Linked DNA regions of Nothobranchius furzeri. The protein of the gene in region 1 interacts with the protein of each later gene in a pairwise test. Links are inferred from orthologs where the notes say so. Each region holds a gene or a part of one and is shown on either strand. Other genes may lie near its edges.

Region 1 (4,160 bases):
TATTCATTGTTTCTTTTAATGGTTTGTAATATGGGATAAACACATTCACTAATTTTTTATATAGTAAAGTCAGATGTAAGACTTCACTTTAACTCTAGCAAAACCTTGTGAGGCTTCATATCTACCACTTTTTCAACTCTGAACTGCTGTAATAACCCAACATTCCCTCCAATCTGACAGCCAATCAAAACAACGGAAGACTTGCTATTTGCCCAGGAACAGAACAGGTTGCTTGCTTTTGCCACTGCCACGTCACCTCCCGTGTGTCAGGTTATCAAAGCAATAGCGAAAAGTTTCACTTAACGCAGTCGTTTGTTGCCTCTGTGTGTCGAGTCCATAAGTCATACTCTAGGGGGAAAGCTCCAGTGCACCATTTCCAGGAACTAGAAGTGAGCCACATCACTGCTGAGTTTCAGACGGCACGTTTTGGAGTCTTATTTCCTGATTTTTGGATATCATGACCGGATTAGATAACAGCAACGTGGCTACCACTAACTTGCAAAACTGATGTTTTATCTCCACAAATAACACAAATTTGAAGGAGTTCTGCTGTGTGGTGGAGTTACTAATGCTAACAGTTAGCTTCTACTAGCCAAGCCATTTTTTGCCCTTTCCTGGACGTTAAAACCAACAACCTTCCCTGTCACGAGTCATGGTGGGTGGGTCCATGAATGTTGTGTCAGTTTGACGTAGATCTGTCAGGCTTTTCAAATCCTATTTTCCATCAGAAGCTAATGCAGAAGATAGGTGTAAATACCATTTCCATGTTCAGCCTGCAAGAAAAACTCAGACTGACCAATTATCATCAAAAATAACAGGGCTTTACCTGCGTTCAAATTTGCGTGGCGGCCGACTCCAGCTAATTTTGTGCCGCCCCAGCCTGATTTCACTCTGCCCCCAGCTATATGGATGTTATTGTAACTGCAGTTGCAGCATTGCGCCACTACAGGGGCGCTGTATCAGCAGCGGTGCACTGAAACGCGCTAAAACCACTGCAGAAAATGATCAAAAATAGCTTTTCTCGCTAGTTGGTACATATCTATGTTTGGTGCTACTGACGTCCTGATTTTCCCCCAGGCACTTCTTCCCTATCAGAGCAGGGGTGTACAGTGCAACGTAAAACATTGTGTGTGTCTGTCTATTTTTCAATGTAGCGCTGGTGCAACATCTTTGAATTACTATTTACTGCAGAACGTTATTGAACAAAAGTAAGAAAAATGCTTTTCACAGGTGCACAGTGTGATAATCTGGATGCAGTGGAGGAAAATAAAGGAACCAGCAAAGGCACAAAGGCAGAACCGGTCCAAAGTTTGGGATCAAAAGTGCAGCTACATGCAGATTGGCTAATGCTAAAGCTAATGGGTAGCAGTCGCACGATCAAGTGGATATATGATGATCGTAAAACAAAGAAAGACTAAACTCAACAAGTGGATGAAAGGTCCCCACCATCCTGTTTATTCTGCATCCTGCAGCGCTATGGACCAGAACCGCTGCAGATACGAGTTACACAGGAGCAGGATGTAGTGCAAGCCATTGTAGAATATAATTAACAAACGCTTCTATCTTTGAACATAATTTAAATTGGATTATTGCCAACCCGTACATAATAGACATGTTACCATTACATTGTTAGCAGCAGAAAATACAAGTTATTATCATTTCCAACACAAATGCATGTTAATGAAATGCATTATTTTTTACTGGATATATTTATGTGTTATTTTGACTAAGATGAGTGTTATTAAAACAAACCTAAAATGTTACTGAAATGTAGGTCAAGTATTAAAAAATATTTCAACTATAAATATCAGATGGGAAAATGGGAACTAAACACCAATCTAATGCATATTATTGAGCCTTTTATAATAAGAGTCTGTTACTTCAGCCTAAAAATGTTGTTTTATTTCATATTTTGAGCAGCAAACCAGTTTTGTTTCACTTGAGATGTTGTCAAATGGAATATTCTATTAATCAACAGAAGCTTAGATTAGATCACTTAACGAAAATATATTTGCCTTTAAAAAAGTGAGGCAGTTGAATGCACAGAGTATGCATGTGCTGGCGCATGGTCAGGATGGTACCACCTCTGCCTCAATTTGAGCCAGGAAAAGCCCTGAATAAGATTTTAAAAATGTTTTTTTTAATGTTCCACACCATTAAAATGTTCTTCATCTTGCTCTTGGCTGTTCTAACATAAAAGGGAATTCCTGTCCTGTCCAAACAGAATACACACAACTTTGTTGCATTGCCACTAGATTAGAGAATAAATATAAAATGTTGATTGCTGTAAATAAAACTGGATTGTCAACTTTTCCTTCTTAATATTTAGATGACAGAGAAGTTTAGGCCAATGCCAACAAGATACAGGGAGGGAAAAAGTGTCTGTCAACTATGACTGCAAATAAACCCTTACAGGAAATTTAGAAAAGTGTTTCGATCTTACCATGCCTATCGAAAACATTCCAGGGCTGGCTCACATGGCGTGATGACTCTCTCTTTCCCCCCTTAATAAAGGCTGGCAAACTGGGTCTCCTTTGGTCCCCTGCAAACTTCCCCGGCTGCTGCCCCATAAGGCCAGGGTGCCAGGCTGCAGCCGGGACTCTCCAAGCCAGTATCACTTGCTCACCCTCCAGCAAATGGGCTCCGGGCAGGAAAAAGTTCAGGAGAAATCAGGAGGCCTGTTCCCCGACTTGGACAGTCCCCACTAAAAAATGGGTGATTCAAGTCTGTTGGACGGATCTCTCCAGGATGTCCCTGTGTATCATGCATTTATAGATTCTGGGCCCTTCAGATGACAAGATGTTTGACAGGAGTCTAGGGGAAAAATAATGGATGACTCAATGATTAATTCAAAACGATTAAAACCCACAAATTATTCAAGCAATTGACATTCAAAATCATTCTCCACGGGCTAGTCAAGCATCCCTCATATATTGAACTGTAGTTTTATCTGCTGTAGTGAAACACCATCCTTCAAAAATGTATTCATATTTTGACAATTAAATGATTCTGTGTACAAATGAGTGTAAAATTATAAAAACCAACAAAGCTGTTCTATAAGTATTCGATTTGATGGGTTCCACTTCCAATATTGTTTTTAGACATGTCTGAACAGGAAAGGGATCACTTGGTACACGTGTATTGATTTACTGTGACTATTCAAACAAGAGTCAACCCAATAAAAACAATGCCAGCACAATTCCATCCACAGCATAAGAGTCACTGACAAAGTCAAGGATCACCTAAATCATGGGTGTTTCCTTCTCGTTCTATTAGTCAATTATCATCATTTTTATCACACAGACAACTTTAAAAACATTACCACACTCTGGTTATATTATTTCTATACTGATCTGAAGTAAATCGGTGAGATTTTTTATTAAAAAGATTTATATCCCAAGGAAGGGATTAATCAGGGGGCTAGATTTTATTTTCCGAAGTCAGAAATGTCAATAACTAGCCCTGCTGTTAAAAGGACAGATTTTTAACACTCGTTTAACTTGAATTCTTATAAGAGTGTAAAAAGACGAAAAAGCAAACTTACACGAGCAGAAAAACTGCGAAATATCTGGTTAGCCGGCGACCTCCAGCTAACGTTGAAGATAGCCATGAAGCTAACCGACGTCTGCTGGTGGTATGCACATCGGCTCGAGTCAACAGTTGGCTCGCGCTGGTTCTCCGCTAATATCCTCGGACAATTGTACCAAAATGTCTCCCAAAAAGCACATGGAAAACATATTTTCCCATGTTGCAACCAATCTCAACAAAAATCACAAGTTTCTTTTAAACTTCCGCGTCCACTTTTCCCATCTTTTGGAGCGTCTCCCCCTCTGGAAGTCGAACTAGACTTTAACCAAGAAGACGAAGAGAAGTTGAGGGAACTCTTCCGGGCCGGACACAAACGCCTCCTTTTGCAAATTATTTCTTCTGTTTACAGCTTCTGAACTCTTCTTTGCGCTGTCCTCTATTTGCGTATTTATTCATCGCTTTCACGTGAAAAGCGAAGTAAACTTTGGCCAAGTAGCAGCAGCACTGTCGCCGAGGCCACCATACTTCCATACGCAAGGTGGTTTACAGAAAAATGTGGGTGGAGCCACGTATGACGTAGAGAGTGCGTGGGCTAGTGCGGATGAGGGGAGAACGAGAACAGGGCAGAAGTA
Region 2 (3,977 bases), on another chromosome or scaffold:
TGGAGCGAGGGCAGAGATGGGGGTGAGGAGTGGGCTTCATGTGTGGGAGCTAACGTGGAGCCTCAAACACAGAGGAAGTCATGCAGCCATAGGGATCTCAAGGCAGGAATGTCCTTTGCACGACTCTGGTTATAAAGTTCTGGTGGGAGGAGACTCACGTTCCTGGGGATGGGAGCTTAAGACCAATCAGCTCTGGCACGGTGGGCAAACTCTGGAGTGCTACCCAGATAAAAGTAGAAGGTGTCGCTCTGGGGCTGCAAACAATTTCAGACCACAATCTTCTAATTCACATTCCACAAAGGAGGCAGAAGGCCCTCTTCTCATTCCCGAGCGTGTCCTGCTGGTCCTGGATGCAGATGCAGGGACTCTGGGGTATTTTGTTGATGGAAGCTTCCTTGGCGTAGCTTTTAGGGACCTTCCTAGTGGAGTAGAACTCTTCCCAGCAATAAGCAGTGTGAGAGGAGGAGCCAGCATACGATTGCGCTATCTTAACGGCACCACAAGTGAGTATCACCAACTAAAATAAACTGTATAATTTAAAAATGCTTTAATACTTAACATTTGTCCATTTTTTCTTAGGTAATCCTCCAGCCCTGATGGCTTTATGTGGACTGTCAATTTGTCAGCATTTAGGACAGCAACGACAGGACCAAGCTGAAAAATTGCCTCTTCCACCTTTCCTCCAGCGTTACCTGCTTTCTTGTTTCTAATTTTCATGAACATTCACGTGCAATCAGCATGCTTTAGCGTTTACAGCATTAAAGCCAAATAAGGCATTTCTGGTTGATTTGATATAAATATGACATTTTCAAAAAACTATTTCTTTAGTTGTATCTTTTGTTTGTGATGCATGGTATTTTGATAACGTTTTGAATGCATTTGCAAATTCCTTACTGTGTAAGCAATATGTTTCCTAAATTTATAATAAAATATGTTTTTGCAATTTCATTGTTTTGCTGTTTGTTTACAAAACACTACAGGCTACTGACATTGTATAGCTCGGAAAAGGTACTCACATAATTCATTATTTGTGTTAATAGTCATATCTGTTGATGCAAATAATTATTTGAATTTGATCACCTGACTGTAATTTTGTCAATTATGCAGCTGTGGATGGTGAATTTACCTGTAAACAAAAATAAAAGGGGGGGGGGGGGGGTGGTGGTGGACTGCATCAATATTAGGATAAATGCACTTAACTACCCATATATGAGCTCCCAAGCTCATTTTGTCAACATAAAAGTAAAGCTATGTAAAACTATATGTATATCATTCTCATTGGGCTTTCCCAAGCTTACTCACTTAGTCGGATGGTCCCGTTGCCATGGAAACAGAGGGCTGAAACAAGGCACGTGGCAAGCTGCACATTTATAGTAAGTTGAGCTAATCTCCCAATGCAAGCTGTTATAAAATAAAAAGTATGTATGAGATGTAGGTGTCGCTACTAAAGTCCCAACTAATTATGTAAGTACATGTTATGTAGTCTGATACTGCAATAAATATATATTTATAATATATCTTGCTAAATTAGACTAGCGTATGTCATTCACCTAGCATCAACTAGCTAACTGCTGCGACGTTCACTTAATAATGAAGTTACTTTTTTTAACAACAATTAAAGTGTAGGTAATGAGTTATTAAAACTAAATAACAAAATAAGACTAGTTTTCGGATTTTTTAGGTTTACTTAAACGTCAGATATGAAGTTCAACCTCTTTCAGCGCTACTTCCGGTGTAGCATATGTGACTTAGAAAATGGCGTACTTTCCTACGGTTGGGGTTTAGGACCCATAGTTAATATACATGATATCTATGTTAGGACCACTCTTAATCTGTCCATAACCGATGCTGAGATAACATATATTTAAAGGTTTGATAAGTATACACGATGTAACGGTAATTTCCCCAAATTTAAACTAATTTTAATAGCCTCATTGACTTGCATTCATTTTTTCTTATTTCCGGGGACACATGAGCCTTATGTAAATGTGTCTGACTAGTTAGGCTCTATTTGGGAGTCTGAAGCTGAAAAGTTTGGGAACCACTGGCTTACAAATTAGTATCAGGTTTTACTATGTTAATAATTTGTATCATAGTAGATTATAACGCATACATCGTGCTTTAAGGAAGAAGAAAGATTTTATATGGCGCCTCTCTAGATAAAATCTCAAGGCACAGTAAACAATAAAAATTAATTTTAAAGGATAATAATAAAAAGGAGGAAAAATGATTAAAAATCAGGTTGTAAATCATTAAAGGTTCTCTAAACAGTTCACATGGCAGTGTTTGGTTACCCAAGAGGATGTCCAAAGAATAGATTAACCTTTTTCTGTAGCTTTAATGGCCTCAGAAGAGTAAATAATGCAAATGAGTATTTTACTACTGTTATTTTTAGTTTGAATATGTCTGATTTACTATATTTTTGTTTTGGTATGTCTTAAATGTCCTGCCCATATTGTATTTTGTTTCTTGTATTTAATTTTCAAAAGAAAAGTTGGAGGGACTACAAAGTCGCTAAAGTGGCGAGGAGTACCCGTTGGTTGTGGTGGGCGAGGAACGAATTAACGACGTGCGAGGAATATCCTGCCATTGTGGATTGTTTTAGCTAGGTAGACTACGAAAAATAATCATTTTTATCAGAACTGAACTGTGACCCGATTACAACCCACAGCTTTCGACTCTCTGAGGATCAGTTGGTTTTTGAGGGTTACAGACTGGTGGAAGCAGTGGGATGTAGTTCTGATAGAAATGATTACTTTTTCGGCTTACACTACTACAAACAACACATTTGACAGCAACACAGAGCCCAATCTAGTCAGTAGTGATAAAACGTTTTAACATTCACTAGAGGACCAGATAAACTACTCAAAAATGAGCCTAATATCACTTTTAATGAACCATTCTGTGTAGAATTATGGCAGCAGCTCAAGAACATTCAAGAGAAGGAGGGAGAGTGATGGTTTATGGTGGCCCTGGCAGGAATGAGGATGAAGAGGAAGAAACTGACATATATGTGGTAAAATGGCTGCAGATACCAGTGGATTTCTAGATGCTTTCAAAATTAGCATTAAAACTTTATAATTAACGTGTTTGTTTCCAGGTTTTGTTGAGTGTTTTGGTGCATCATGGGCAGGTGGGTCTCTGCTTTTACGACAGCGAGGACTCCTCTCTACACTACATGGCTGACACTCCTGACAACCACGATCTTCACCTGTTGGCCAGAGGTAAATTATTCACTTACTTCCAATAGAAACATCACACTCACCAAGCTTTACTTTTCCTTTGTTCTGTTATTTGACTGTAATGTACGTCAAATGTTGTTTAATCTTCAGTCATTGAGGAGGTTAAGCCCCAGGTAATCATCACCAGTGCAAAGCAGGAACGGTGCTTGACTCGCTACTTACAAAGCCTCGGTGAGCGCCGCTAAACAAATGTCTTTGGTTGGTTAAGCGGAGTCAGAAACTGTAGAAGAGCATTTTGTTTTGAAGGGATGTGGAACGAGATGTTTCTGGGTCAAGGGAATTTAATGAGATTAAGGATGTTTGACACAGTGATAAGAAGAAGAGTGATTGTGATGGTGCTCCTCCTTATCTTTACTGAGCCTCCTTAACAACAAATAAAAACGGGGCATCTGTTAGTCACATTTTTATAATTAGTCTGATTTTGTTTCAGATTCCAACCAACACTACAAGCCAGAGGTGGTAACTTACCCATATGCAGACTTTGGTAAATGGTTGTTCTAATGCAATATTTATACACCTCCTGTAATTGCCAGGCTGTAGTTCTCTGTTCAGTCTTCGTTTTTTACAAATAACCACTTCATTAGGGTTTTGATTTTGAACGTTACAGGTCTGGAGGTTGGTAAACAGAGGCTTCTCTCTGCCCACCTGCCTTTCCTTCCAGCCAACATTTCAGAAAGAGACAAACTGTCCTACCTTTCCTCCTGTATCACTTTTGATTCGCCCCTGATGGTGAGC

Evidence for each region. The genes of interacting proteins can lie anywhere in the genome.
Region 2: the proteins of abl1 (region 1) and msh5 interact in binary tests that used the Homo sapiens proteins (3 or more experiments, as listed by UniProt). The link is inferred for Nothobranchius furzeri from reciprocal best matches to the Homo sapiens genes ABL1 and MSH5.

Annotation. Positions count from the first base shown.
Region 1 is NC_091746.1:53,653,094-53,657,253, reverse strand, and holds the start of abl1 (tyrosine-protein kinase ABL1), read right to left. Parts: upstream 2,801-4,160; 5' UTR 2,571-2,800; coding exon 2,444-2,570; intron 1-2,443. UniProt on the Homo sapiens protein: Non-receptor tyrosine-protein kinase that plays a role in many key processes linked to cell growth and survival such as cytoskeleton remodeling in response to extracellular stimuli, cell motility and adhesion, receptor endocytosis, autophagy, DNA damage response and apoptosis.
Region 2 is NC_091745.1:79,204,597-79,208,573, reverse strand, and holds the start of msh5 (mutS protein homolog 5), read left to right. Parts: upstream 1-1,177; 5' UTR 1,178-1,373; exon of another isoform or gene 1,374-1,464; intron 1,465-2,910; 5' UTR 2,911-2,914; coding exon 2,915-3,016; intron 3,017-3,100; coding exon 3,101-3,224; intron 3,225-3,332; coding exon 3,333-3,413; intron 3,414-3,672; coding exon 3,673-3,726; intron 3,727-3,849; coding exon 3,850-3,971; intron 3,972-3,977. Other genes in the region: SPRY domain-containing SOCS box protein 1, read left to right, coding at 1-503, 580-710.